6 linked regions of the Cricetulus griseus genome follow. The protein of the gene in region 5 interacts with the protein of the main gene of each other region in a pairwise test. Links are inferred from orthologs where the notes say so. Each region holds a gene or a part of one and is shown on either strand. Other genes may lie near its edges.

The links.
Region 1: the proteins of Arl6ip1 (region 5) and Tufm interact in binary tests that used the Homo sapiens proteins (3 or more experiments, as listed by UniProt). The two-hybrid records come from large-scale screens. The link is inferred for Cricetulus griseus from reciprocal best matches to the Homo sapiens genes ARL6IP1 and TUFM.
Region 2: the proteins of Arl6ip1 (region 5) and Spg21 interact in binary tests that used the Homo sapiens proteins (3 or more experiments, as listed by UniProt). The two-hybrid records come from large-scale screens. The link is inferred for Cricetulus griseus from reciprocal best matches to the Homo sapiens genes ARL6IP1 and SPG21.
Region 3: the proteins of Arl6ip1 (region 5) and Snx12 interact in binary tests that used the Homo sapiens proteins (3 or more experiments, as listed by UniProt). The two-hybrid records come from large-scale screens. The link is inferred for Cricetulus griseus from reciprocal best matches to the Homo sapiens genes ARL6IP1 and SNX12.
Region 4: the proteins of Arl6ip1 (region 5) and Sucla2 interact in binary tests that used the Homo sapiens proteins (3 or more experiments, as listed by UniProt). The two-hybrid records come from large-scale screens. The link is inferred for Cricetulus griseus from reciprocal best matches to the Homo sapiens genes ARL6IP1 and SUCLA2.
Region 6: the proteins of Arl6ip1 (region 5) and Myg1 interact in binary tests that used the Homo sapiens proteins (3 or more experiments, as listed by UniProt). The two-hybrid records come from large-scale screens. The link is inferred for Cricetulus griseus from reciprocal best matches to the Homo sapiens genes ARL6IP1 and MYG1.

The regions. Positions count from the first base shown.
Region 1 is NC_048596.1:74,281,684-74,286,762, reverse strand, and holds Tufm (elongation factor Tu, mitochondrial), read left to right. Parts: upstream 1-1,657; 5' UTR 1,658-1,774; coding exon 1,775-1,817; intron 1,818-1,918; coding exon 1,919-2,113; intron 2,114-2,588; coding exon 2,589-2,755; intron 2,756-2,988; coding exon 2,989-3,093; intron 3,094-3,175; coding exon 3,176-3,340; intron 3,341-3,440; coding exon 3,441-3,573; intron 3,574-3,657; coding exon 3,658-3,762; intron 3,763-3,872; coding exon 3,873-4,024; intron 4,025-4,130; coding exon 4,131-4,250; intron 4,251-4,825; coding exon 4,826-4,999; 3' UTR 5,000-5,030; downstream 5,031-5,079. UniProt on the Homo sapiens protein: GTP hydrolase that promotes the GTP-dependent binding of aminoacyl-tRNA to the A-site of ribosomes during protein biosynthesis. Also plays a role in the regulation of autophagy and innate immunity.
Region 2 is NC_048597.1:177,057,540-177,062,811, forward strand, and holds the start of Spg21 (maspardin), read left to right. Parts: upstream 1-2,077; 5' UTR 2,078-2,296; intron 2,297-5,272. UniProt on the Homo sapiens protein: May play a role as a negative regulatory factor in CD4-dependent T-cell activation.
Region 3 is NC_048604.1:69,026,091-69,031,018, forward strand, and holds the start of Snx12 (sorting nexin-12), read left to right. Parts: upstream 1-1,856; 5' UTR 1,857-1,965; coding exon 1,966-2,130; intron 2,131-4,928. UniProt on the Homo sapiens protein: May be involved in several stages of intracellular trafficking.
Region 4 is NW_023276807.1:228,053,325-228,058,537, reverse strand, and holds the start of Sucla2 (succinate--CoA ligase [ADP-forming] subunit beta, mitochondrial), read right to left. Parts: upstream 3,551-5,213; 5' UTR 3,493-3,550; coding exon 3,403-3,492; intron 1-3,402. UniProt on the Homo sapiens protein: ATP-specific succinyl-CoA synthetase functions in the citric acid cycle (TCA), coupling the hydrolysis of succinyl-CoA to the synthesis of ATP and thus represents the only step of substrate-level phosphorylation in the TCA.
Region 5 is NC_048596.1:82,519,303-82,523,777, reverse strand, and holds the end of Arl6ip1 (ADP-ribosylation factor-like protein 6-interacting protein 1), read right to left. Parts: intron 4,236-4,475; coding exon 4,118-4,235; intron 3,135-4,117; coding exon 3,050-3,134; intron 2,134-3,049; coding exon 2,015-2,133; 3' UTR 549-2,014; downstream 1-548. UniProt on the Homo sapiens protein: Positively regulates SLC1A1/EAAC1-mediated glutamate transport by increasing its affinity for glutamate in a PKC activity-dependent manner.
Region 6 is NC_048595.1:398,709,890-398,714,861, forward strand, and holds the start of Myg1 (MYG1 exonuclease), read left to right. Parts: upstream 1-1,771; 5' UTR 1,772-1,809; coding exon 1,810-2,025; intron 2,026-2,126; coding exon 2,127-2,239; intron 2,240-4,293; coding exon 4,294-4,453; intron 4,454-4,972. Other genes in the region: Pfdn5 (prefoldin subunit 5), read left to right, coding at 1,339-1,415. UniProt on the Homo sapiens protein: 3'-5' RNA exonuclease which cleaves in situ on specific transcripts in both nucleus and mitochondrion. Involved in regulating spatially segregated organellar RNA processing, acts as a coordinator of nucleo-mitochondrial crosstalk.

The sequences.
Region 1 (5,079 bases), about 8.2 Mb from region 5:
TGTGAGCTGCTATGCAGAGCTAGGAACTATGCCCAGGCCTTTTGCAAAGCCAGCCAGTGCTCTTAACTGAGCCATCTCTCCAGCTCCTCTTCTGGATTTTGTTTTGTTTCGTTTTGTTTTTCAAGACAGGGTTTCTCTGTCTTCTGGATTCTTTAGATAAAAAGTTCATAAAGACTGAGGGTCGTAGCAAAAAATCCTAGTAACACTTTAACTGATTGTTGTTTATTTTTGCCTTTTCAATCTGTGCTCAGTTCGTAGAACTTGATTTCCTGCCTCAGCATCTTAAGTGCTGGGATCATAAGGGTTATGTTAAAGCAAGCGTGAGGGGAACCTTGGCGGATTTCATGGCAGGCATTGGTGGCCCAGGCGGGGGACAAACACGCCAGGCAGACAGAGCTTAGTGAGAAGTTTTATTAGAAAGGGAAGGGAGGGAAGGAAAGATAAAAGATGTAAAGAGACACAGAGAAAGAGTGAGGACAGAAGAGAAGAGGGAGACAGGACAAGTCCTGTCGGCCCCAGGTGAACAGCAGGAAAGCGAGGGGAACAGTGTGTAAGTGGGCGGGACTCTTTCTTTTAAAGGTGTCCTTTGCACCTGCATGCTGACCAAGGTACTCCTGAGTGTATCCTGCCAGGTGACAGCGGCAGGCCAGCATAATGCCTGTGTGTGCCTGTATCTAGCTCAGTTTGATTTTTGGAAGAGGTGTGATATATATAGGTTCCTCGTTTGTGCCTAGACTCTGAATTATCATCTCTCTAGGGATGGAATTAGGGAATCTACAGCATTTGGAACAAATACTGTCAATTGAGCTTTGATAGGGTAGATTTCAGAAAGAAGTCGAGAGTTAAGTAGCTTCTTTTACCGCCTGGGGAGAGGCGAGGAAGCTGCGAGAAGGCACGGATGTGAAAGTTCAAGTCATCACTACCCTCACACTTATTCTTTTAGTCAGCTGGCATTTACCGGGTATCCGTCACGTGCTGCACTTTGGAGACAAAAGACTCAGGTGATCAGAAGCTCTCAAAGTTGGTCTTCACACAAAACAGGGCAGGTGCAGATACCAGCAAGAAAATTTATCGGGGCGTTGCGGTGGACGCTCTTAATCCCAGCACCGAGACAGGCGCATCTCTCTAGAGTTGGAAGGCCAGCCTAAACTACATGGCGAGTTCCAGATCAGCCATGGATATGTAGTGAGGCCCTGTCTCGAAAGGAAGGAGGGGAGAAGGAAAGAAGAAAAAAAGAAAGAAAACTGCTTCTCAAGCGACCAAAGGACTATTGGGGGGAGGAGAATGTGACTTCGGAATGCTAGGAAGCACAGGATCCCTGCAAGAGACATGGGGGCGGTATTTAAGGGCCAAGGACTGGAACCCTCTGACCGCATCCCTAACTACTTAATTTTGCTTCTCATGGGCTTGGGGGAGATTTTCCCCACGGCCGAACCCAGCCCTAGCTAACGCCTGCCGCCCTGCAAACTACAATGCCCATAAGCCTTGGCGTGCGCTGTGCATTGTGGGATGCTGCGCGTTTTCCTAAAACGACCCCTCAGGCCGAATTGTGGAAATTCTCTCTTCTCCGCGAGACACTAGAATCCTCCTCTTCCGCCTCACGCCCGGATATCAGTGGCCATGACCATAAAAACCGGCGGCTAGAGGTTCCCAGACTCGCTCTCCCGCCCTGGTTTCCGCCGGAAGTGATCTCTAGTCGCGAGTGCCCGTCCTTCCCTGCACGCGCGGCTTCCCGGTCCCTAATTCTCGGTCCGGGTCGCCGAGTACTACCACAATGGCGGCCGCTACCCTATTGCGAGCGACGCCCCGCTTCAGCGGTGAGGAGGCGGGCTGGGGGAAGGCAGCCTGGAGACCCGAGGGGCGTCGAGGTAGCTGGGTTTGGGCCCACTCCCTTGACTCCAAGCTCCTTTCACCGCAGGTCTCTGCGCCAGCCCGACCCCAATTCTGCAAGGTCGGCTGCGGCCGCTGAAGGCCCGGGCATCGCCCTTCTTATGTCGCGGCCTAGCCGTGGAGGCCAAGAAAACCTACGTGCGTGACAAGCCCCATGTGAATGTGGGTACCATTGGCCATGTGGACCACGGCAAGACCACCCTGACCGCGGCCATCACGAAAAGTGAGTGAGTTTGGGTTGGGTTGGGTTTGGTTGGGGGCGTCCGACATTGCCCTGTCAGCTGGAAGGACCAGAGTTGGGGAGTAGGGTGTCTGTAGTCCGCTGAAGTTTAGCTTGGCGCCAAAAGACACTTCAGACGAGAACTGTTTTGGAAGATTCAGAGACAGGTTTCCCTGTGCAAGAAGAGCTCTGTGAGGCACAACCTGAAACAGTCTGAATGGCTTCTTTCTGTGTGGAGAGATTTTAAAGAGACCTGTCAGTGGAGCGGTTAAAGCGTCCGTGACAAGGACAGACCCCTTGAACAAGTCTTTCTGTCGATAACCCCCTCCCCCTGCAAAGTTATATCTCCTAAAAGAATTGGAGATTAGAGAGCTTTACCCATCCGGATTGTTAATGTATGAGGGATCCAGGCGTGTGCCCCGAGCCTTGCCTGCAGCTCTGAACCCGAGTTGAGAGGTGTGTTCTCTTCCTCCGGTAGTTCTAGCCGAGGGAGGTGGAGCTAAGTTCAAGAAGTACGAGGAGATAGACAATGCCCCTGAGGAGCGAGCTCGGGGTATCACCATCAATGCAGCTCATGTGGAGTATAGCACTGCTGCCCGACACTATGCCCACACAGACTGCCCTGGTCATGCAGATTATGTTAAGGTGAGGGTTGCTGGGGACAATCAGAACCTGCTTCAGGTCAGTGGAGGTTTGAGGGGAGGTTACAAGATAGTGGCGGTGTTTGGATATGAGAACAGTGATTTGTGGCTGCGGCTGCGGCTGTGGGTGGCGAGGACATGGCAGAGTGGTGGTGATCTTCACAACTACCTATATAGTAGTAGACAGTGCACCATTGAAGAAGTCCTTGAACTAAACTTTCTTCCTCTTCCACCCAGAATATGATCACAGGCACTGCCCCGCTGGATGGCTGCATCCTGGTGGTGGCAGCTAATGACGGCCCCATGCCCCAGACCCGAGAGCACTTACTACTGGCTAAACAGGTACCAGGGTCTGAGTGGGACGGAAGTTAAGTGAGAAGTTGGGTAACGGACGATACCATCTCAGCCTCTTTCTCACTTGCAGATTGGGGTAGAGCATGTTGTGGTGTACGTGAACAAGGCAGATGCTGTCCAGGACTCAGAGATGGTGGAGCTGGTGGAGCTGGAGATCCGTGAGCTGCTCACCGAGTTTGGATATAAAGGAGAGGAGGCCCCAGTCATCGTAGGCTCTGCTCTCTGCGCCCTTGAGGTGAAAGCAGGGACTGCTGCTTGCTGTTAGAGGATGGGGTAGAGGTTTCTTCCTTTGTACCCGAGGAGCAGAAATTTCAGTCCTGTTATCTCTCCAACAGCAACGTGACCCTGAGCTAGGTGTGAAGTCAGTACAGAAGCTGCTGGATGCAGTGGACACTTACATCCCAGTGCCCACCCGGGACCTGGAGAAGCCCTTTCTGCTCCCCATAGAGTCAGTTTATTCTATTCCTGGTGAGGCCTGTGCTCACTTGTACCCCCTCCCCATAGGGACCACCTAACCTGGGGTCCCTGGTGACCTGCCCTTTTTCTTTCCAGGCCGGGGCACGGTGGTGACAGGTACACTAGAGCGTGGCATTTTGAAGAAGGGAGATGAGTGTGAGTTGCTAGGACATAACAAGAACATTCGCACAATAGTGACAGGTATAACAAAGGAAGGCTTCAGACCCTGGGGTGATCTCAGAATGATCCTTTTGCATGTAGGGCTTGTGCCTTCCTTCTGCCTTACACTACCTTCTCTGTCTTCTTCCTAGGCATTGAGATGTTCCACAAGAGCCTTGAGAGGGCTGAGGCAGGGGATAACCTGGGTGCTCTGGTCCGAGGCCTAAAGCGGGAAGATTTGAGGCGAGGCTTGGTCATGGTCAAGCCAGGCTCCATCCAGCCCCACCAGAAGGTGGAGGCCCAGGTGAGGGCTCCAGGTGATGGTTGGGCAGGGCTAGGCCAGGTTGTTGCTTCCATAGAAGCAGGACTTTGAGAAGACCATTCATTCTACCCTTGCTCCTCTCCTCTAGGTTTACATCCTCACCAAGGAGGAGGGTGGCCGCCACAAACCATTTGTATCTCATTTTATGCCTGTCATGTTCTCCCTGACTTGGGACATGGCCTGTCGTGTCATCTTGCCTCCAGGGAAGGTATGATGGGACTTAGAGGATGTAAAAGGAGTAGAACTGGGCGGTGGTGGTGCACGCTTTTAATCCCAGCACTCAGAAGGCAGAGTTCAAGGCCAACCTGTTCTACAGAGTGAGTTCCAGAACAGCCAGGGCTACACAGAGAAACCATCTCAAAGAAGAAAAAAAAGGACTTCTACCTAAAGATGTATCATGACACAGTAGTTCGCCCTTTCTTTGGAAAGGACAGGATGAGTCCTCATCCAGTATTCCCTAGACCAGATTAAGCTGAAAGTTTAGCAATACCAGCATTCCCAGAGAAACATGCCGTAGAAAAGGGTGTGTTTTGTTTCTTCCTGCTGTGTTTTGTGAAACAAGGGAGGCTCAGAATACTCCTGATGACTAAAACTAATACTGAAACTAATACCAAATTCCTGATCATGGTCCCTTTAATTTTTGTACTGTTTGCATGTGTCTAGCAGCTGGGAGGGAAGGATGGAGCTTTTCCCAGGTAGCCTTTTCAGCCTGTTGCATTTTCTCATTTTCCCTTGGCTGCTAGAGGTATCCTGGTGACTGCCTTTTCCTTCTCCCTCTATTAGGAGCTTGCCATGCCTGGAGAGGATTTAAAGCTCAGCCTAGTTTTGCGGCAGCCCATGATCTTAGAGAAAGGCCAGCGTTTCACTTTGAGGGATGGCAACAAGACCATTGGCACTGGTGTTGTCATTGACATACCAGCCATGACTGAAGAGGACAAGAACATCAAGTGGAGCTGAATCTGGACTTCTCAGGTTGTTGAGCTTGGCCATCGTTCCCTCCTATGGACACAAGCTGCATCCAAGCAGAGTTCAACCAT
Region 2 (5,272 bases), on a different chromosome or scaffold from region 5:
TAGTCAGGCTGCTTATAACCATCTGTAATTCCTACTCCAGGGGATCCAAAGCCCCTCTTCTGGCCTCTGTAGGCACTAACTAACACACACACACACACACACACACACACACACACACACACACACACACACGAGGATGGGGAGTAAAATCTAGGAGCTGAAAGACGGCTCAGAGATTAAGAGTGCATATTACTCTTGCACCCATCTTGGGCAATTCATAAATGCCTAGCTGTAATGCCAGCTCTTGGGGACCCAAAACCCACTTCTCCACTCCTTACACACTACACTCATGTGGACCACATACTCTCCCACACACACAATTAAAATAAATAATAATAATAAAAAATAAATAATAATAAAGATATATTTTTGGTTGAGTTGGGGGAAGAATAGAGGAGAGCAGGATGAGAGATACCATAACAGAGGGAGCCATTGTAGGTCCGAGGAGAGATCTGGCACTGGGAGATTTCCAGAGATCTCCAAGGATGACACAAACTGACAATCTAGGCAATGGTGGAGAGGCTACTCTAAATGCCCTTCCCCTATGAGACTGATGACTACTTTCTATGCCATCCTAGAGCCCTCATCCAGTGGCTGATGGAAGCAGAGACAGACACCCACAGCTATACACTGAACTGATCTCTGGAACCCAGTTGCAGAGAGGGAGGAGTGAAGATCAAAGGGGTCGGTACCAGGCTGGTGAATCCCTCAGAAACAGCTGGCCTGAACAAGGGGGAGCACATGGACCCCAGATGCTGTCTGGGAGGACAGTACAGGACTGATCCAGACCCCTGAACGTGAATGTTAATGAGGAGGCCTAGGCACTCTATGGGGCCCCTGGTAGTGGATCAGTATTTTTCTCTGGTGTAAGAAGGGACTTTGAGAGCCCATCCCACGTGAAGGGATGCTCTGTCTCGGCCTGGACACATAGGGAAGGGCCTAGATCCCGCCCAGGATGATGTGGTGGACTTTGGGGAGCACTCATGGAGAGCCCTACCCTCCCTGGGGAGTGGAGGGGGGAGGGGGGGCTGGTGGGAGGTTGGGGAGGGAGGGAGAGGGAGAAGGGATTGACATGTGAAGCTATATAAATAAAATTTTTTTAAAAAGATATATTTTTAAGTTCTCCTTAAAACACTAAGATCTTGCTATAAGATTCTTAAAATTTTTCAAACAAGATTTACAGATAATTCAATATGATCATACATTATTTCAGAGCAAAACTACTTACTGAAAGGAGTCATAACATCTGCACCCTCTTTTGTAAGAACAGTGATTAGAGTGAGCCTTACAGAAGAGGACCTGTGTCTGAGGGCAAGCCTAGTGTTGAGTATGTTCCCCTCAACATCAGCACAAAGCCGCAAAAGGAGACAGTTTGGACAGGAGGTCTGAGGAGGATCTCTGTAACTGTACAGAGAAAACTAGTTCTGTTGAGAAAAAGTATGTAGTTAAGAAGAGGGAGGAGATGGGAGCATGAGAGGAAGATAAAGACTAACAGGGTGATGACCAGAATACTTTATGTAGATATGAAAATGTCCTAATGAAGCCGTTATTGTGATTTAATTAACTTATGCTAATTAAAAAAGAATATATAGCCGGGCGGTGGTAGCGCATGCACAAGGCGGGAAGTGCGCAGAGGCAGGACGATCTCTGTGTGTTCAAGGCCAGCCTGGTCTACAAAGCGAGTTCTAGGACAGCCAGGGCTACACAGAGAAACCCTGCTTCGAAAAACCAAAACCAAAAAGTAAACCAAACCAACCAACCAAATACATCAAGCTCTATTCACCAAAGCTAGAACCCAAAGATGTCTCCCCCGAAGCACGAGCCACCCGAAAACTGAAGGCAGAAGCACAGACTTCACTGCCATAGCTTTCTCCTGGTGCTTATGTCAGACAGGTGACCTAGGACGGACCCTGACCCAACGCCAGCACTGGCGCCAGCTTCTGCATTGCTCCAATACATTTGCGCTCGGGCGAGCACAGAAGCTCCCATCCGGGGCTCCACGCCAGCCTCGTTGTCATAGTTACCGCCAGAGCCCCGCCCCTTCCTCGCTGTCCGGCCCCGCCCCTCAGAACCCGGAAGCGGGAGGCGCGCCCCAGGGAGCTACGGGATTCAGACCTGGGAGGCGGCGGCCTCTGGCTGCTCAGCCGCGCGCCCCCTCTACCTGCTGCGCCCGCGGAGCCTCTGCTCTGCAGCCGCCCGGCCCACCCGCGCCCTGCCGCCTGCCTCCGCAGCGCCCGAACCGGGCCGAAGAGCCGTTTGGGCTGGAGAGAAAGGGACGCGGGGGTGGCCACGGCAGGTGAGGGGCAGGCCTTGGAAAGCGGAGTGAGGGTGTGTGGTGCGTGTAGGGTTGTAGGTGGGTGTGTATCGAGCATGCGTGACTAGTGAGTGTCGTCCACGGGTGGGCCGGTCCTTGTGACCATGCACGTGATCCATATCCGTGTGTGTTTGTGTCTGTGTCTAAGGCCCAGCCTCGGTTCATTGCGGATGGTCGGTGTGCCTGTGGGTCCACTATTGTGTGGCTATGGCTATAACTAGTGGGACTCAGGGAGGCCCCAATGGGGGTTGGTGCCCAAAACCTTAACCGGACATCTTCATCTTCTTGTACCACCCAACTTGGGGCTGTGCGGCAGAAGCTCAGAAGCATTTGGTTTCAGTAAACTTTTAAGGACTGCGAGTAGAGGCCAGTTCTGGAGATCCTGCCTTAGACCGGGCATGAGGCTTGTTAGAGAGTCATGAGAAACATTGCAGGGCTAGCGAGTGTCTCGTTTTTCTTTTCCCAGGAAGTTAGTTGTTAGGTGCTGATGCAGTTGCTTTGTCTCTATCTGCAATTGTCCAGCTACTCTTCGTGCAAGGATTCTAAGGATTGGGAAGTCCTCTAATACTGTCTGAATTTTTCAAAAGGCATTTACAACAGGATCTTGAGAAGAGGTGTCAGAAGATGTCATGCAGGCAGCATCTCCTGTCATGGCATTTAGAGACAAGTGGATAGGTTCCTGGAGAAAGAGGGATGAATTTTCCCTGAAGAAATCGCCCCCGAAAGATAGCTATTTAATACATATGGGTGTGCTGGGGGTGGGGTGAAGATCTGCAGTAAATAGCCAACTGTGGTTCTTTGGGTGTAGTTTAGTGGCAGAAGCTCATGCTTAGCATTCCCGAGGCCATAGGTTCAGTTCCTGGTACCGATAATCATAGTTGTGTCACCTAGAGGCTTTCAAGGTCTAATGCTTTTTTTATTGGCTGTAATAATCACAGATTATCCCTATGTAAGTCCACTATAGATTGAGATAAAGGACCAGCCATATGTGACCATGTGAGTTAACATTTGTAAAGCTGATTTCCTCAGCTGTAAAGTGCAGGTTCTGCTGAGACTCCACGTGCATGCTCACATCCAGCAACACAAAGTCCAGAAAGGACCAGGTGTCCTCAGCATCCCGGAGGAGGGGTTTCCTTAATCATGATTAAAGCTTATCTCTGGCCCTTTCCTCACCAGCCTGAACAAGTGCTTTTGTTTTTGTAAAGAACTGAATCATGAGAAATCGCATCTGTGCTGAGCTCACCGCTCACATTCTTTTTTCATCCTGACCAGTTTGGTCACAATCTCAGCTAACTTTCTGGGCCATAGACACAATGTTTCTTTTGTGACTTGGAAAAGCATCCGACCTAAGTGGATGAAAGAGAGCTAGAACAAACTTTCCTTTTCATACTGCTACAGCTGCTTTCCCTTTGCAGCTTTTTTTTTCTTCTTCTTCTTCTTCTTCATAGCCGTCAGCTGGTCACATGCAACATTTGGTAACTGTCTCGCCTTTCATTACTGCCGAACTAGCACAAGTGTTAGGCTCACTTGTCTTTACAAACGTGTACTCACAGCTGGGCAAAATCTCTTACCCATCAAGATTAGTTATAACGTGTCCTGTTGCAATACTGAGGTAGTTGTGAATTATACGGAAGGCTTTTGGTAAGGACTACCTTCTACCCATTGCTATGGGAAAGAAGTGGGTGACTCGGGGTCCTTGTGTGCCTGCCTACGTGTTTGTGCTGTGGTTTGGTTTGTGAATTGCACCTGACTCTAAAACTGTGAATAATTTCTACCGTAAATGGGTTGATTCTAGAAGTAAACTTTAACAAATTGATTGAAGTTTTTGTTTGTGTGTCTGTTTTGAAATGAGGTTTCACCTATCACTGTGTAGCCCTTGCTGGCTTGGAACTCACTATGTACACCTTGAACTCAGAGTTCTGTCTTCCTCCTGAGTGCTGGGATTAAAGGTGTGCGCTATCATCTGGTGGTTTCACATATTTTTGATATTCTCTCCTACAGAAATTGTTCTAGAAAATGTCTTTAGTTGGTGTCCTAGTGTAAAGTATTTCAGAATTAACTGCTAGTTGCTTTCATTTAAAAAAAGTAGTAGCTTAAGGGAGACAGAAGAGGTAAATTGACTATATTACATTTTGCATGAAACTATTCAAATAATAAGAATCTCTAAAAGTTGTTAAAGTTATGATATAAAAATAGTTTAAACATCTTAGATACTAAACTTGTTAATATTTAAGATAAATGGATTTTGCAAAGGATTGTGTTCTTTGTTTTAGTGTTAATGACTGAATCTGTGCACGATGGTTTCAATATAAGATTGATGGTAATTTACTTTGTGTTTTAAAACAATTTACAGTTTTAGCGGGGGCGGGGGGGCTCTGCTCTCTGTGAGTTAGAGGCCAGCCTGGTCTACAGAGTGAGTTCTCAGTTGGGGATACACAGTGAAATCCTTTCTCAAAAAAAAAAAAATTACAATTTTAACAACCCTCTCAAAATATTTCCTTTGCTTTGAGATAAGAGACCACTATCCTATCAGCATTGTAATTAGAGTTTTAATATTGGTCTGTCTACATTTACTGTCTCCTGGAAGTTCAGTGTAGTGATTCTCAAAGGTAGCAGACCAGTGTTGTGTCCCTGTAGAAAGAGGCCAGAGAATGAGGAAGGGTTCCATTAAGTTTAGAATTCTCTGCCCCTTGCCAGGCCAGAGAGCTTTTTCAAAGTCAGCCTAAACTTAAGTCCTGGACTGTCACCTCATCCCTACTAGGGACTCTAGTTCTGCCCTCAAAGCAGGGGAATGCCACGCAAGACATGTATTTGAACCTTTCCAGGTGGGCCAAGTGCTCTTGGCCATAAGAATCTGCAAGAAGGAACCTTCCCTTAGGTTCCTGTTACAGCATCGCACAGTCAGGCAAAGGATATGCAGTTCACAGCTGGGCAGTAACAGAATTAGGAGGGCTTCTC
Region 3 (4,928 bases), on a different chromosome or scaffold from region 5:
TTTGAATGCTTGTTTATATTTGTCACATTAGTTTTGTTTACTTGTCTTTGCTTAGAAAGTTAACTCATGATTGGCCATTATGGTACATGCCTTTAATCCCAGCTCTTGGGAGGCAGAGGTAGGCAGATCTCTGTGAGTTCAAGGCCATCCTGGTCTACAGAGTGAGTTCCAGGACAGTCAAGGCTACACAGAGATTTAGAAAAAACAAAAAAGGAAATTAAGCATAGTGCTTGCCACATAAGTAGTTTATAAATCTCAGTTATATTGAACTAAATAACTTAATTGTCAAATTGTAAACCCATGTGGTTTGTTGAAAGAATTCAATCATCAGCGATATAAGAATTTTTTAGGAGGGGAAGTTAGGTGAAGGGAAAAGGAAAGATGACCTAAAATTTCCACTTGTCTACCCCTTAATATGGGACATGTAGCACTGGAGAAATGTCTTAGTGGTTAAGAGCACTGGCTACACCTGCAGAGACCCAGCTTTGATTTCGAGCACTCATATGGTGGTTCACAACCATCTATAACTTCAGGTCCAGGGGATCTGACCTCCTCCTATGGACTCCTTGGGCACTGCATGGACCTGCTTCATGAACATCTATGCAGACACATAAAAATACTTATTTAAAATCAAAATAATAATAAAATAATTAAAAAATATTGGACATGCATAAGCCAGTTTTTTAAAATGTATATTGAAGGACTGGGGATGTAGCTTGTTTGATAGACCCTGAATTTGATCCCCAGCACTGTGCAAAACTGGGTGTAGTGGAGCATGCCTATAATCGCAACATTTGGGAGACACAGGTAGGAGGGTCAGAAGTACAAGGTCATTCTCAGCTACAAAGTGAGTTTGAAAACAGCCTGGAATACGTAAGACAATGTTTCAAAACAAAACAAAACCAAAACATCACATAACTAATATTCCTAGCTGGACATGGTGACACAGACCAGTAATACCAGAAACCAAGAGGCATCGTCAAGAGCATTGCTACAAGTTTGAGGCTAGCCTGGCCTACATAGCAAGTGCCTGGCCAGCTGGGATAAATGTAAGACTCTGTCTCAGCATGTACCTGTGTGCAAATACATTTTATACATATGTATTTATGTTTTTCTATAGATGTTCTCATATAGACACATATCTTCATCATAGGTTGCAAGGAAGCTCAGAGCATAGCCAAGTGTGGATGGAGTTCTTCAGAATATAGACAGAAATTACGAAATAAGTGCCCTGAAATAAAAGAAATGAGTACACCTGGAATTAGTTGTTATGTAGCAACATGTGGAGAATGAAGATACACCCACTATTCCTGAAAAGCGAGAATATGAAATCATTATTGTTCACCCAATTCGAATTTGCTGCTTCTCTGGCACCATAATGTATTTCTTATCGAATACTCAATTGTGTGTAGCTTGAACTGAAACTATCAGTGGCACAAGAGGTGGGGCTGCATTCTACATTTTTTTGGTACTGTTGTTGGAACCCCACCTTCCAGAAACCATTCTCCTATTTTCATGGAATGTACTTATTTAGGACCTGGGGTTTCAGCCTATCACCTATGGATAATAGCTCGCGGGGCAGTGCCCACTGCTGATTGATGCACGGGACGAGACAGTTTCTGGAATTTGAGGAACACAGATTGGTGGAGCCTGAGTGTGGTGCTTCTGAAAGCATTGGATATGGAGTATTACAGATGCAGGTTCCGGGGCATTTACCAGTACCACCCGGAAGTCTGAATGACGCTTTCACGCTAAGGTATAAACCCTAGTCAGCATGGTGGTTATTCAGGGCGACGGGCCTGAAGGCTTGGGCGGTGTGTACGTGCACGCATGCGTGTGCGCGTGCGCGTCGCCGCTGTCTGTGGGTTGGCTGGTTATTTTGCAAGCGGGAGGGGCCGTGCTCGCTCTTGCCTCAGGCTTCTGTCCCCCACCCCCTTCACCGGTACGGGTCTCTTCTTCGAAAAGATGTCGGACACGGCAGTGGCTGACACTCGGCGCCTTAACTCGAAGCCTCAGGACCTGACTGATGCTTATGGGCCGCCAAGTAACTTCCTGGAGATAGACATCTTTAATCCACAGACGGTGGGCGTGGGCCGCGCGCGCTTCACCACCTATGAGGTTCGCATGCGGGTGAGTCACGGGGTGAGGGAGACAGCTGAGGGCGGACGACGCGGGAGGGGAGGGGGCATGGGGACGACTAACGGCGGGGAAGCTTGGAGGGGGTCACATGAGCGTTAGGGCTTGAAAGGTTTGAAGAGAAGGTTGCAGACTCAGTTGTGGCCCGAGGGTACAGAAAACTCCAGAGGGGACTTCGGGCGGGGGCGCAGGAAAACAAGTACTCACGAGGCAGAAGTAAAGCATGGCTGGACAGGGTGTGGAAGATGGACAAAGATTAGTGAGGAATTCAAGTAGATTGGGATCTTGATTGACAGAGGGACAAAAGGGGAGGGTGGAAGAAGGCTGGGGGATGGAAAACCAAGGCGATTTATTGCTGGGTCCCATAACTGAACTAGGTTATGGAAGTCAATCTAAAGGCGGGGGTGGGGGTGAGGGAACGGGAAGTCTGGGCTTCTTTCTAATGAGATCTCTCTGGGATGATGGAATTAAAAAAAAAAAAAACCCTTTTAGTTCTAGGAAAGACTACTGGAAAGGGAGACGGCGGGCTTGTGAGAGAGAGCAGAAATAGAAAGGCAATCTTGAGACTGAATGCTTTGCTGACTTGTTTAAGATTTACATCTGAAAGAGAGAAATGTTTTATGCTTAAGTTTCTTAGGTACCACAATGCCGTGTCTTACGTGAAACCCGGCCCTGCACTGGGATTGGTGGATTGTCAGTTGCTGCTCCCATCCTCTGCTGATCCTTTAGATTTGAAGTATCCCGAATGTTTACTTCAGTTTTTATTGGCTCTCATTTTTTTTTTTTTTTTTTTTTTTTTTTTTTTTTTTTTTGTAAAACGCCATTTGCCTTTTTCTGTCCCTGGTCTGTATTTACTTTAATACATGACATTTCAGAACTGCTCTAGGAATGGCTTCTTCCAGTTTGCACCCCAGGGGACTTTATTCTCTTAGTCCACAGTGCTTAGTCCATAGGGCAAGGATGGAATGTGCAGATAGAGTACCTGGTTCACAAGTTTTTTTTCCCTGTTGAAGTGGTACACGTTAAAACAAATTAAGAACCATTTTTTAAAAAAGTTTTCCTTGCATTTTCTTCTCAGTTTACACACCCAGGATATTCTTTGTGAATAGCATCCCTCTTGAATAGCATTGAAGATCCAAGAGACATATGGTACTCTCATTTTTTTAGAAGAATTGAATAAGAATGTGTATTCTACCTGTGCTTGACAATCTTAGGGAGAAATGGTACTCCCTAAACTGAAGGGGTAAAAGTGATAGCAGCATGAAGAAAGCTTGTTTCTTTCTTTGTTTTTTTGTTGTTTCTCTGTGTAACAGCTTTGGCTGCCCTGGAACTAGCTCTGTAGACCAGACTGGCTTCATACTCACAGAGATCTGCCTGCCTCTGCCTCCCAAGTGCTGAGATTAAAGGCGTGAGTCAGTAAACCTGGGTAGGTTTTAGTTTTTGTATACATTTTTAAAAAGTAAAAATCAGGAAAGCATGTAGTTTTAGTAGTTTTTCCAAGTGCAAATAACAGTATCAGATAGGGCTGGGATTTGAAACCAAGTCTCTAACTCCAAAGTCCATGTTCTTCCACCACTTGGTCAAGGCTTAGTTGCAAAACTTATGCGAAATGTACACTGAGCTTTTTTATCAGTCCCTTTCACAGTTCTAGTTATATAATGTTGATAGAGTTGATGGTGGTTCTTCATTCTGTGGATTTGAGTTGATTTGAGGCTTTTACTGTTTTATTGAACTAGCTTTTGGAAAAAATATGTAAAATCATTTGTATTTATTTTTCTGGTGCTAGGGATTTAATTCAGGTCATGCATGCTGAGCACACTCCTCCATTGATCTACACCTTCAGCTCCATATAATAAATATTGATGAAGCTATTCTCTTTAATTTTATTCAGGAATGGATCCTGCCTGCCTGAGGAGTATGGAAAGGTGCTATGGTGGCCTCACATCATTATACATATTGATATGGATGTTTCTTTTCTTTTTTTCCTCCGAGACAAGGTTGCTCTGTGTTGCCCTGGCTGTCCTAGAACTCACTTTGTTTTTTTAATATTTTATTTATTTATTATGTATACAGCATTCTGCTTCCATGTATATATGCATACCAGAAGAGGGCACCAGATCTCATAACAGATGGTTTTGAGCCACCATGTGATTGCTGGGAATTGAACCTAGGATCTCTGGAAGAGCAGCCAGTGCTCTTAACCTCTGAGTTATCTCTCCAGCCCCCTGGAACTCACTTTGTAGACTAGGCTGGCCTTAAACTCAAGAAATCCACCTGCCTCTGCCTCCCAAATACTGGAATTAAAGGCGTGCACCACTAGGCCTGGCTCATATGGATGTGTCAATGTGGACTTGAATTTTGTGTTTTTTTTTTCTCTCCTTTTACTTTATTTTGTGCTGAGCAGAACCCCAAAGCCCTCAATATCCTGTGTTATACAATTCTGGCTTCCATATATGATTGTAGTTTGGAGCCCAAGGACTAGCCTTATATGTAGTAGCTTTTTTCTTAGATGGCTAGGTGCTGTGATGGACAATATTTTTGCCATTCTTTGAGGGAAAGGAAAGAACAGGTTTTTGTTGATTTGTTCTTTAGTCAAAGCCCACAAAATGGCAGTTTTTAAATTAAAAACTTTAAAAGAAGATTTATTTATTTTATGTCTGTGTATCATGTGCATCCTGGAACTGGAGTTATGGATAGTGGTGAGCTGCCACAGGGGAGCTGGGAATTGAATTTGGGTCCTTTGTATGAACAAGTGTTCTTAAATGCTTTCTAGCTCCTTTACATTTTTTAAA
Region 4 (5,213 bases), on a different chromosome or scaffold from region 5:
TTTCTGAAGCACATGGTGTCCTCAGGAATGGAGACTTAACTTCCACCTCTGGGGGGTAACCAAGGGAAACAGCATTAGGATGCATGTTTTGGAAATTTCTTGGCCAACAGCTCAAAAGGGGCCTTCTCATGTCTAGTACTGGGGTTTCTGTTAGGCGGTCTTTGGCTCTTAGACACATATAATTCTTTAAAGATAAAGCATATGGAGCTGGGTGGTGGCGGTACTGGTGGAACACCCCTATGAAGCAAACAGATCTCTGAGTAGAGACCAGCCTGATCTACAGAGAGGAGTGCCAGGACTGTACAGAAACACCATGTATGTGTTGGGGGGGGGGGGCGGTCAAAATGTTAAATTAGGTGAAAGCATTACAAATATCCACTGTAGTGTTGGACCACTTTCATTAGTTTGAGTTTAGTTTGGATTTTTGAGTTTTGTTTGTTGAGACAGGGTTTCCCTGTGTAGTCCTGCCTATCCTGAACTCATTCTATAGACCAGCTAGCCTTGACATCCACCTGCCTCTGCCTCCCAGAGTACTGGGATTAAAGGTGTGTGTCACCAAGCGCAGCTCTTTAAAAGAGTTTTAATGTCTGAAGAACTTAAATGAATTGTTTCTTGCAGCACTAGCTGCTCTAACTTCCAATTACAATAGTTTTAGATTCTGTTAGCAATACAATTCCTGCATAATCCCAAGGACTGGGATGCACAGAAGTTACAATTAAATAGAAGGAGGGAGTTAGGTGTTCTACTATAGTGACTATAGATAACAAGAATGTAACTTAAGTAGGCAGAGTCCAAGTAGCTCAGCGGGAGGGTGATTTTCAGCCATGCTAATCTTCCAGAACTCCAGGATCTTGGATTCATGGGCGGGTGAACAGCAGCATTTTAACATTTCCAGGCGAGGCCCCGAGTTCTCTGTACGGTTCCCATGGTTTCCCCTTGCTTTGTGCAGTTCATCATTTGCTGCCACTGATCTAGCTCTTCCAGGCTCCCGACTTCCCATGTGTAGATGGTTCTTTCTTGGCGACTAGACAGAGCATGAGCGTTGCCGAGCTTTGCTTTCCCCATTCTCAGTGAGTGGGTCCAGGATGACCAGATGTAGCCGTGCTTGACGGCCCAAAGAATCAAATGCAGCCTGGTTTATGGGGACCACCCATCTAACTGCTCTCGAGATGAGATTGTCCTTTCTCACAATATAAGGACTGGGAACCAAGAACCCATTTGATTTTTCAGTGTAACACAAGGCATGCACATGAACCTGCTAGGTATTCAACCAAAAACTGATTAAAAAAAAAAAGTGAACAAATGCATGAATCAAACACGTAAAACAGGGAAAGCCATTATCACTGTAAACTACCAAACACTGAACTTGTGGTTCTGATGGTGGTGGGGGTATCTTTTCGGTACAGAAGGAAAGACTCAGGTCTGTAAGAGAAATAGTGTAAGAAAGACTCCAAATCTGGGCTTCCAGTGGGACACCAGAAACAGTAGGATCCATGAAAGGGGATGTCTCTTCTCCAGTGAGCAGCACAGCTGGATGGAGGGAACTCCCTAAGCCGCAAGTATATTTTAAGCTGCATCTCTCAAAATGTCAAAAGTGGGATTAAAGTGTAAATGATTGTCAATTAAAAAAAAAGAATGTAATTCTGCTCTAAAGCAACTGGAAAGGTGGCTATGTAAGTTCTCATGACAAAGAAATGACAAATATTTGAGATAACAAAATGCTAATTACCCTGATTTTGATCATTATAAGTATATGTAAATTAAAACATTATGTATCAACTAAAAAAAAAAAACTTAAGGAAAAAGAAAAAGTGACCAATTCCAAGACAAACCCACGATTTAAAAAAAAAAAAAAAAAAAACTGAATTGCTAAATTTAATGTGTGACCTTAAGCAAGTTTCCTCCTGAGACATGGAGTCCACATCTACAAGAGCAAGGTGTCCAAAGACACATTCTTAATGCTGGAGTGAAAGGGAAAGCTAGGTAATGAAGACAACATATTGACAACCCATAGGGAAATGCAAGGCCTTTTGTTTGTGTTTGTTTTTGAGACAGGGGTTTCACTGTGTAGCTCTGGAGCCTGCTCTGTAGACCAGGCTGGCCTCTGGCTCCCAGTGTGTCCCACCACTGCCCAGTGACAAAGGTATGTTTAACAGGATTTCCAAACGGATGAAATCTATTAGAATGAAATGAAAATCTATCTGTTCAGTGAATCCTTATTCTGAAAAACTAGGCAGCATTATTTAAGGGAGTGGGGTGAGGGGAACTAAATCTATTCAATATGGTGCGCCTGAAGAGTTACTTCAGAACAAAACCAAAGAAACTCTGGAATTATCTTGGAAAGCTGATCTTGCTCTTGAAATTTTAAGGTATTAACACCCAGGACAAATTTTTAATGGGGCTTGCTGCTGTTTAATTGGTTTGTTTTTGTTCTTTTGCGACAGGGTGTCCTGTAGCCTAGGCTGGCCTTGAATCTTCTATGTAGAGGATGATGACCTTGAATGTCTCATCCTCTTGCCTCCACCTTGAGTGCTAGGATTACAGGGATGTTGGGACTGGAACCTGGGCTTCCTACATGCTAGACAGGCACTCTGAATCAACAGCATCCCCAGCACCCAAGTTTCATGTTCTTAAGCTGTAGAGCGGACACAAGCACACAGCTTCAGAAACAGACAGTTGTGGAATTAAACCTCGGCCTTCATCTCCTCTGCTGTGTCTCTCAGGCCAAAGTACTTCTCTGAGCCACAAGATTGTCATCAGTGACAACTGGTCTTAATGACAACCCCAGTGCTGCTGACAAGTCTAACGACCTTCGGTCAACATCTGCCACACTCTAAATATCAAGAAGCAAAGGGACAGAAAGAAGTCGGTACTACGCTAGGGTCTACATAGAAATGGAAGTCCTCTAGAACATTTCTTCCTTGCTCTCCCGGCAAACCAGCTGAAAAACTTAAAACTCGTTAACCAGCAGTCACCACCGGGACTGATGGATCAAAAAGAGGACAGTAGGTAGGCCGTCTCTGCTGGCGTTCCGAAGTCCTTCTCTCCAACGACAGCTCCGGGGACAGCGAAGTTCACCTGAAGGGCATCCCCCTTACCCAAAAGGGGCCCGGAAGCGTCGGCCCTCGGCCAGGACGGCCCCAGCCTCCTTTGGGCGCGCCCAGCCACGCTCCCGGAGCCGGGGCCGGCAGCCAGGGCTCCGGGCCGGGCCTCCTGAGGACGCAGGCTGCCGCGGAGCGGAGCTACCCGAGCGCCGGCTCGCACTGCTGGCTCGCAGCCTCACCGCTGAGCCCCGCACGACGCCCGGGACGCGCCGGCGCCGCGGACACCCCCCGCGGCCGAACCGCGACCCCGCGCCTCTCCCGCCGACTCTCGAGGCTGAGGAGGACCGGACCGACTTACCTGGGCGGCGGCCCGCAGTGTAGCCTGCGGCCGGTGGCTCCTCAGGACGGCAGCGGCCAACTGCCGGCCGTAGAACATGGACGCCGCCATCTCTGAGTCCGACCGGTCCCCTTGGCACCGCGCAGGCGCGGAGACGAGTCGTGCGCCGAGCCCGCGACCCTGAACAATCCCGGGGGGGGCGGGGCCTCGGGTTAACCCTGTCGCTGCCGGACTGGCCTGGATTGGCAAGCTCAGAGCAATCTTTGACCCTCAGAGCTTTCACCTCAGCCTCAGAGTGTGCCCTGTGGCCAAAGGGCCACCAGAACACTTCCTAGAGAACCGCAGCGTCGTCGCCACTTCGATCTTCTTGTTTTCCCTGAGCCCTGGTGGACTCACCTGTAGAGTGGGGTTAATTCTTGACAGTGAATGCATGTGTTGAGCCTTTAGGATACCATAGCTTCAATAAAAGAAAATAGACAGCGCCCTGATACTTGAAAGTTTGTCACTCACTAAAGCTGACTGAACTCTGAAAACATTAGCAAAATGTCTTCGAAAGAGAGCTGGAGGGGTGGCAGACCTCAGCACCCATGTCAGGAGGGACACCACTGCCTGTGGGATCTAAAACCCTCTTCTGGCCCCCCTAGGCACCTGCACCCACGAGCACATACACGAAGTAGCACACACATACAATTAAAAGAAAATACTATCACTTTTTAACTGGAAAATATATTAAGTGAGGTAACCCAAGACCCAGAAAGATGTATTACATGTCCTCGCCCCTGTGTCCTATTAGTTACCACACCCCTACTGCAAGCATATATTATTTTCTCCCCTATGGGCTCCTCTGTAGTTTCCTGACCTCTAACCCTTACTCACACATAAATACATATGAAATTTAAAGATATGATGGTTGTGTGGTAACTAACAGGACACAAGTGAGAAGGGACAGGGGGGTAAGAGAGAAGAGGAGGGGAATCTACCAATACTACACATAAAAATATCGTAAGGAAACCTGCTAGCTGTATGCTAATTTTTAAGGATACACCCACCCCAACACATGCCTGGTGATGTATGCCTGCAATCACAGCTTCCATACTGGAAGCTGTGGCAGGAGATTAAAGACTTCCAGACTACTCTAAAACTCACAGTGAGACCCTGTCTTATAGAAAAGAAAGAAAGGGGAAATGTCCAACATAAATGGGACCTATCAGCATCCTGTCATGGAGAAAGCGAGAGTCTCATGAGGCCCCACTCCTCCCTGAGGATTAATTGACAGTTAACGGTTAATGTTGGAGAGTCAGTTTCTTCTGTGGAGTAGCCTGCACTCCTGTAACAAGCCTACTGAAACCCATTCAGTCATCAAAGAAAACACATGAATGTGAAGTGAGATTATTTGGGAAGAGGAAGGGGATCTGCAGAACTGGGAGGGAAACAAAAGAAGAAAACAGTTGAATATGACCAAAATAGATTATATATTGGGCTAGAGAGATGGCTCAGCAGTTATGAGCACTGGCTGCTCTTCCAAAGTATTCAAGTGTGATTCCCAGCACACACATGGCAGCTCACACCATTTGTAACTCCAGTTCCAGAGGACCTGATGCTCTCTTCTGGCCTCCAAGGGTACCAGTCACGCATGTGGTACACAGACATGCATGCAGGCAAACCACCCATACACATAAAATGAAATTTTTAAATGTATCAAATACAAGTCTGAAATGCTGTAATGAAACCTATTATTATGTACAGCTGATTTATGCTAATTAAACAAAGCAAAAAAGAAAGCATCATAGGCCCCACCCAAGGGAAATTAGGGCATTTTTATTAGAATCTCT
Region 5 (4,475 bases):
GGAGCCTGTCCTGGCACTCGCTCTGGAGACCGGCTGGCCTTGAACTCAAGAGATCTGCCTGCCTCTGCCTCCTGAGTGCTGGGATTAAAGGCGTGCGCCACCAACGCCCAGCGACCAGTGTTTCTTTTTATGATTTTGAACCAAGTCTTTCTTTGTAGTCAAAGCTGGGCTTGAGATTACAAGATAGCAATTTGAAAGCCTCAGACAACCATAGGAGTTATGATGACCTTGGCCTGAGACCTCTAGTCTGTTCTCAAATGAGACCCCAAGTTATAGCATCCAACTTGAGGTGTAATTTCAAAAGGCAGACAAAAGTCATCTCCCGATTAATATCAACCACCTGTGTTGGAAGCAAAGGTACAAGCTCTTTTGAGCCTCTTCTGTCCCTGCTGATCCCTCCCCTCAGACTTTGGAATCTCAGTGTTTTCCTTTCTGTCTAGCACCGTGCCTAGGTGTTTCTTTCAAGACTGCCTTAGAGGGCATGGGCTTATAATGACAACAGGGAAGTTACTAACCAGATTCATAAACTCGAACAGTTAACAACACAATTGAGATAAAGAGGTTCCAGCTTTTTTTTTATTATTATTTTTTCCCCTTTTACACAAAACAAAGTAGAAGAAATGATTAAAACTGCCAAAGTAGTTAATTGGTAGAACATATATTATTCACACATATACACACACACAAAACTCCAGGTAGGAAGACAGGCTTATTTACAAGAAGACATGTATAATTAAGGTGGATGTCATGAAACATTAAGAAAAAAACCAAACATGCTACAACAGGTGCCACTGTTTACAGTGCTGGGGAGGTGAGAAAACAGAGGCAGACCCAAGGTGCAGGCTTCACAGCATCAGTGCAATGGATCCACAAACTATGTTATAGCTAGTTCATGGGCTAAAGACTTGTTCCCCAATGTGTCCTATTTTGGCCCTCAGAGGTTCAGTCCTGCAGATTTCAACTGCTCTAAAAGTCTACCTACTGAAAGGGCATGTGATCACAGTAAGCTTAAGTAAGGAGTTACAGACGCTACACAGAGCAGTCACCCGTCAGCAGTCTGCTCTCAGCTACAACCCTGCAAAGGGAAAGTCAAACACCAGTGTAGACACTGCTTCCACGTATAAATCTAGAGCCACTGAAATACAGCCAGCATTATCGGGTAGGAGTGGGAATATATGAGAATTTCCGGGCTTCCTTTTAAAAGATTTGTTTTTCTTTTTCTTTGTTTTTTCCCTGGTCTTAAAAATTAATGGATGTTCTAGTTTTCTGAGTGAACAAAGAGGACATTTATATCCTTGGCTGGCCTAGGAGTAAAGTCCCTGAAATTTTAAGTCAGCTGAAAATCTGGAACAAAGAGAGTGCTAAAATTTCCAAATACAATCTTCTGAAGTTTGTTGTTCCAAAGCTGTTAAAGGACTAACTTGAAGCAATGCAAAGGAAATGAGAGGTCAGATTCCTCCTGTGAACAAAGGGGCAATGCTTCCTAAAGCTGCTACATCTCATACAACAGAGAACTCATACACTAGTGTGTGGAATTTTATACTATCCCATGGGCATTCTCCCACAGTGGAAAATCAGGAATGAAACTTAAAATGGTCTCTTCATCGAAAGTGGTAAACCTGGTCTCTGTACTCACAAAGAGACAATTTGTTAAGCAGACTGTGGAAGCAGACAGTAGAACCAGCTTCCTGTAGCCACAGACCACTACCTTGAATATAGCTAAAGCAAACATCAACTATTACCCTAAGTCATAGTTCACTGTACGAAAGAGCAAAGTTCACCACTTCAGTATTTTAAAGGAAGTTGATAAAAATAAAAATTCAATAAAACAAGTTATACGGCTGGGAATACACACAGCTACACCTGACACTAGACATAGCACAAAGCCTGGCCTGTGTGAATCTCTATTAACAGGAACAGAGGGAGGGAAGCAAAGAGCCACTGTAACATTTTAGTATCCAGACAGCACTGTACAACTGTTCCCAGGGGCAGGGCGCACTCCACCGAAGCTGCATTATTCATTTTTCTTTTCTTTTTGCTTGAGAAGCTTGTTTATCTCCCTTTTGGCCATTCCAATGTACTTCAAAATGATTCCGTGTTGGTTTAGTCCAGGAAGCAACAGCATAAAAGTCACTTGAAATAAAGAAATGAAGTTGAGGAAGCAGTATTTAACTCACAGACTCTGGAGGAAGTAACATGAAATGCACTGTCCCATCAGGATTCAGTCCCAGAAACTCCAGCTAAAATGCCTCTCTACTGCCTATGCACTCATGCTCATGCATTATGCTATCTTACTACCCTTGTCTTTACTTCCCACAAGGCTTTAATAAACTCCCTGAAAACAAGGGCCAGACTTCTTTAAGATTTTTATTTTATGGGTATACACAAGTGATTTGCCTAAATGCTGGCTATCAGATTCCCTAAGACTGGAGTTATAGGCTGTTGTGAGCCAGCTTGTGAATGCTAGACATGGAATCAAACAAATGCTTTTAACCGTGAAGCCCTATCTTAAGTCCTGACTTGAAATCTTTTTGCTCTTGAGAAAAGATAGCAGGGCGGCTGTAGTGCACGCCTTTAATCCCAGCACTTGGGACACAGAGACAGGCGGATCTCTGTGAGGTCAGCCTGGTCTACAAATCGAGTTCCAGGACAGGCTACAAAACTACACAGAGAGAAAAAACCCAAAGAGAGAGGGAGAAAGGAGAAAGGAGAAAGAGAGAGAGAGAGAGAGTGAGAGAGAGAGAGAAAGAGAGAGAGAAAGAGAGAGAGGATCTCATGTAGCCCAGGCTGATTGTGAATGTGACATGACCTTGAATTTCTGCTCCTTCTGTATCTAGGTCCTTAGTTTTGGGATTAGTTTTGTCTAATACTGGGTATCAAATCTAGGGCTTGGGACACACAGAGCTATGTCCCCAGCACAGGCTGGAGTCTTCAGTCTTCACCTTGCTACACTTCCACAGGCCTGTGAATACTCACTTATCTATTTATTGACTACACTATACAGACATCCCTGTTAAGACCCATGCAAGATGTTTCCTCAGTGACTTACCAATAAGGTAGGTAAGAAGCAAGTTGTGGACTTGCTGCCCCACCCAAGCAACCGCAGCAAGAGAAACAATCATGGTCATGAAGTACTGTTAAGGAAAAGAACAAGAACTTGTCAGCTCTAAGCAGCAGACTAACACGGGCAGCTCTGAAGGCTTGCTTCACTCCTCTACACTGTGCACAGGTGACCAAAGCACCGAGGCTTATCTACAGAGGACCAAAGCATCATGATGCACTCCATTACACATACAGCTTCACTTGTGGGCTTAACCAGTTTTCTTTTAAAGGCTGGGAAAATAAGATCATTTTTATTACCTTTGTTTTATAGAATGTATATATATTTCCTCTTTAAAATAAAAACTATGTTACCTTTCTTGTTAGCAACTTTCCACCAAAACCAAAGCTAAGATATAATAACACGGTTTTTTGTTGTTCTTGTTTCTTGTAACTTGTTCTGTATACCAGGCTGGCCTCAAACTCAGAGATATCCACCTGCCTCTGCCTCCTGAGTGCCAGGGTTAAAGGCATGTGCTGCCACCGCCCAGTTTGGGAGCATTTCTTATTTATTTATTTATTTATTTATTTATTTATTTATTTATTATGTATACAATGTTCTGCCTGCATGTATGCCCGCAGGCCAGAAGAGGGCACCAGATATCATTATAGATGGTTGTAAGCCACCATGTGGTTGCTGGGAATTGAACTCAGGACCTCTGGAAGAGCAGGCAGTGCTCTTAACCTCTGAGCCATTTCTCCAGCCCCGAGAACATGTTTTTATGTATATGTCTTTTACTTCAGCAAGACGGGGGGGGGGGGGGGGGGGATGGGGGGGGGGGACGACGACTTACATCCACTATAATAAAAAGTTATATACAAAATGTAAATTTTACCTTTCAATGATTTAGCTACCTCATATAACATTTATGAATATATGTAGGCATTACACCAAAGGATAATAAGTACTGAACTTCACTCCTAAAAAGGCTGTCACTAGACTGAAATTACAACAAACTCAGTATTTTGCTTCACATTCCAATAAGTAAAACAAACAAACAAATAAATAACAAAATACCATTTTAGGCTTCTCTTCCTTTAGAGAAAAGAGGCGTTTCCACCAGCCCACAGCTCTGCGTCGAGTTTTTACTAGATTACTGCAGATTTCATGAAATCTTTGCTGTTGTTCAGTGGTCCTAGAAAAGAGAGTTTTGTTTTTGTTTTAAGTAAATGGATACAGTACAATTTATTTAACTTTCCTGAGAAAGAATCTCTCTGGCTGCCCCTGAACTCATGATCCTTCCGCCTCAGCACTGTAATATGCTAGGATTATAGGCATGAGCCACAAGGCCTAGAACAGTTAAATTCCTGATCTACCTGCTTCTGTCTTCCAAGTGCTGAGAACATAGGTGGCTGCCTCCACATGTGGCAAGAGT
Region 6 (4,972 bases), on a different chromosome or scaffold from region 5:
AGGAGAGGCTCCAAAACTACACAGAGAAACCCTGTCTCGAAAAACCAAAAAAAAAAAAAAGCAAGCAAAGCCTGGGGATATGGCTTAGTGGGTTTGGTGCATAAGGACTCAGCACCAACACAAAAGCTGAGCATGATCCAAGAACTTGTAACCCAAGTAGGTTTGTCTCTGGTAGGACAGAGACAAATAGATCCTGGCAGTTCACTGACTGGTCAACCTAGTTGAATGGGTAAGTTTCAGGTTCAGTGAAATACCCCATCTCAGGGGGACTAGACAGAATGATACAGCAAGAGAAGATACCATGCTTTCCTTTGGTCTCCACACATATGCTTAGTGGTGGACACACATAAACATATACACTCAAAAAAGAACATGGATAATAACATAAAACTTGGAGGTATTAGGGCTGGAGAGATGGCTCAGAGATTAAGAGCACTGGCTGCTCTTCCTGAGGTCCTGAGTTCAATTCCCAGCAATCACATGGTTGCTCATAACCATCTATGATGAGATCTGGTACCCTCTTCTGCAGGCATACATGCAGACATAACACTGTCTACATGATTAAATAAATCTTAAAAATAAACAAAGCTGGACAGTGGCCCACGCCTTTAATCCCAATACTCGGGAGGCAGAGGCAGGCATATCTCTGTGAGTTCCAGACCACCCTGGTCTACAAGAGCTAGTTCCAGGACAGTCTCCAGGGCCACAGAGAAGTCCTGTCTTGACCCCCCCCCCCTCAAAAACAAAAACAAAACAAAAAAAACCTTGGAGGTATCTTCTCCAAGTTAAAACCATGTCTCTGCTAGATGTAGTGGTTCACTTCCTTTAATCCCAACACTTGAGAGGCAAAGGCAGGCAGATCTCTGAGTTAGAGACCAGCCAGCACTATGTAAAGACACATTGTCTCAACAACAGAAAAGATGTTTCTGTTTCTCTTTGGTGTCCTGATGTGTTATCCTGGGGGTTGAGTGATTAAGAAGAAATCTGATAATGGGTTGGGATAAAATGTCTATAAACACAGTAGAAATCTGCTAAGAAAACACTAGCAGTTACCACATTGGCGGCTGTACATAGCAGTCCTCCAGGAAGTTTAAAAAGAAAGTGCAGGTCCAGTTCACACCAACTAAATCAGTCTGGAAAACGGGTATAGGAAGAGCTGCTTTTGATGTTAAAGCCATCGAAGTGTTGGTGGCTTTTTGTTTTTGTTTTGAAACAGTCTCATTGGACATACATTCCAGCGGTTATTGTACTGACTGACACAGTGTAGACTGTGTGTGTGTTCCTCACCTGGGTTCTCCCGTATAGTCCCTTAGGATGACTCTCCTCCTTCTCTCTTAGCTGTCATGGAAACGATGAGCCAGAAGATCCAGCAGCTCACAGCCCTGGGGGCGACTCAGGCGACTGCCAAGGCATGAGGATATGTTGCAGAAAAGAAGCAGAGAGGAACCCTGTTTCAAGGGGCCTAGGACTTTGTGGGGAGTGGCCTATTGGTGTCTGGGAAGAGAGGGTCTTGTGTTTAATGTTAATAAATGCGCCAGGTGGGCAAATGGTGGTCTTTTCTTGCGTTAAACAAGGGACTGGTGGTGAACTGGGAGTGTCCAGAGGTGTACTTTCGCCTAGAACACGAAAATGGGTCAGCCACGCTGCCTTTCGAGGTTCCACTTGGGGCTTTGAGGAGCTGGAAGAAAGCGTGCACTTTTTTTTTTTTTTTTTTTTTTTTTGTCGTTGCCGTGGGGATAGCTTGCAGGCGGAAGTGAAATGCACTAGACACTTCCTCTTCCGGGTCAACCTTCCAGGGGAGGGAACCCTATGGGTTGTTTCCTGCGTGATATCCTAACAGTGTTGCTGCCGCTGCGGTCACTTCTCCAAACCCAGCGTCGCATGCTCGGTTCAGAGTCCGTTTCGCCCCCTAAAAGGCCTCGCAGCAACCTCATGGCACCGCCGCGAATCGGGACGCACAACGGCACCTTCCACTGCGATGAGGCTCTGGCCTGCGCGTTGCTCCGCCTCCTGCCAGAGTACAAGGTATGGACGGCCAGGAAAACTAACCTGAGCACCACACCTCTGGAAACCCACCCTTCATCCTCTGACTCCTGCCTGACAGCCCCTCCTTTCTGTGTCTGCAGGATGCAGAGATTGTGCGGACTCGGGACCCCGAAAAACTGGCTTCTTGTGACATCGTGGTGGATGTGGGTGGCGAGTACAACCCTCTGAGACACCGTTACGATCATCACCAGAGGTGAGTTCATAAACACCTCTTCTCTGACTGCCTTGATTTATCTTTCGTTTGTGCTGCAATTCTGCCTTTTACTGCCCAAGTCCACCACTGCCTCGTGGTTGAAACCAAACTCCTTAATCGCTCTGGGACTGAAACCTTGCTGCAGGCAACTGAATCCTTCTAATTCAAGGATAGTCCACTACGGTGGTCTTGTGCATTTTTATTTTAATGTGTGTGTGTGTGTTTCGCCTGGATTCATGTGCATTGGTGCCCGCAGAAGTCAGAAGGCGTCGGGCTGCCCTGGAGTTAAAGGAGGGTTGTGAGCCACCATGTGGATGTAGGTATTGAATCTGCCTCTGGGGCTGCAAGAGCAACCAGCTCTTTTATCATCCCCAGCCCGGTGATGGTTAGTTTTAATTTTCAACTTGACACAACCTGGATTTCAGAATCACCTAGGAAGTGGTTCCGTGAGGGATTATCCACTTGAGGCTGGCTGGTGGGCACCTATGTGGGATGCCTTGATTACCTTGATTGATGTGGGGCGGGGCACTGATTCCTGGACTGCGGGAGTTAGAAGTAAGCCAAGCAATAGAAGCATGCATAGGCTTGTTAGTTTTCTCTGCTTTTGCCTATGGGTGAGATGTGATTCTTAAACTCCTGCCCCTTCCCTGCTGTGGTGAACTGTGGGCTGATGCTGCCCTATGTTGGTCTCTGCCGTGTTTTATCATGGCAACAGAAGAGAGCTGTTACCCACAGCACCATTGCCACCCTTCGCCCTCATCTCAAACTTGAGTGTCCCCACTTCCCACCTCCAAAATTTCATGACTCCTCCTTCCAGTTCAGGAAATTTTGTCCCCTTCTGTTGTGTTTGTTTGTAGTTTATCCAGATAGGGTTTCTCTGTGTACAGCCCTGGCTGCCCTGGAACTTTTCTGTAGACCAGGCTGACCTCGAACTAGAACTCACAGAGATCTGCCTTCCTCTATCACCCGAGTACTAGGATCAAAGGTGTGTGCCACTGTGCCTGGCTTGTTTAATCTATTTATTATGAGTACAGTGTTCTGTCTGCATGTCAGAAGAGAGCACCAGATCTCATTATAGATTATTTTGAGTCACCATGTGGTTGCTGGGAATTGAACTCAGGACCTCTGGTAGAGCAGCCAGTGCTCTTAATCTTTGAGCCATCTCTCTAGTCCCTGGCTTGTTTTGTTTTTTTGTTTGTTTGTTTAAGTAAAAAGCATCTGTATGGAATGTGAATAGGCTTTTCTTGTTCTTTAAAGTATAACACCTACTTACCTAACATCTGTATCCTATTAAGTAATCTAGAGATGATCTAAAAAATATGGGAGAAGTAAGGAAGGTGGTGCACACCTGTAACCCCAGCATTTAGGAAGTAATGGCAGGAGGGTCAAGAGTTAAAGGTTATCATCTGTGAGTAAGTTTCAGCCTAGCCTGGATCACACAAGACCTGTTCCCATCCAGAAAAAAAATTATAGCTAGTCATGGTGGCACTCACTTTTAATCCCAGTACTCGGGGAGCCGAGGCAGGCAGATCTCCTGAGTTGAGGCCAGCCTGGTCTACAGAGTTCCAGAACAGCCAGGGATACACAGAGAAACCCTGACTCCAAAACAAAAAAAATATACATATATACACACAGGAGGATGTGTGTAGTTTATAGGCAAACACTGCCCTATTTTACATAAAGGACTTGAGCATCTGGAGGTCAGGTCCTCATGGTCCTGTGAACTACAGTTGCTCTGTTGTTTTGTCCACCTCCCACTGATGAACTTGAAAGGACAGGATCTTAGTTTTTCTCCTTAATATGCAAAGCACAAAGCCTGGCATTCAGTAAGTGATGAGTTCCAACCATTGTCAAGTGAATGCAGGAATAGAAGCTTTGAACCAAGGCCTATGTTGGCACTGGAGGAAAAGCAAACATCATTTGAGTGGGTTTTCTTCTTGTTCGTACAGCATGCCCCATCCTACCGATTCACAGGTCTCCACATGTAAACTTGTATGCACACACTAGACTCCTGAACCAACTCCTTCACTGTAGCCCTTCCCTGTGCTCCTCAGGACTTTTACAGAAACTATGAGTTCCCTGTGCCCTGGGAAGCCATGGCAGACCAAGTTGAGCAGTGCGGGACTTGTCTATCTGCATTTTGGGCATAAGCTACTGGCCCAGTTGCTGGGCACTAGTGAAGAGGACAGCATTGTGGATACCCTCTATGACAAGGTAGGGACCTGAAGACAAAGAAGGCCTATATATACATTCCCACCAGGTTGGCTAGGAATGGCACTGATGCAACACTGGACTAGGCCTTTATTGGACTGTAGGGGACTGTCTTAGTCACTGTTCCATTATTGCAAAGAGACACCATGACCACTGCAACTCTTATAAAAGAAGTCATATAATTGGGGCTTGCTTATGATTTCAAGGGTATAGTCCATATCATCATGGTAGAGAGCATATTGGCCTTCAGGCAGACATAGTGCTAAAGAGGTAGCATCCAGTTCTATATCCAGATTGGCAGGCAGGAGAAGTGACACTGGGCATGGCTTGGTCATTCCCAGTGACACACTTTGTTCAAGGCCACACCTAATCCTTCTCAAGTAGTGCCACTCCTAATGACTAAGCATTCAAATGTATTAGCCTGTGGAGGCCATTCTTACTCAAACCATCACAGGTTCCCAACAGTTATCTCCCCATCAGGTATGCTCTTTGTTCCTTCCCAACCTACATCCTGGAGTGGGG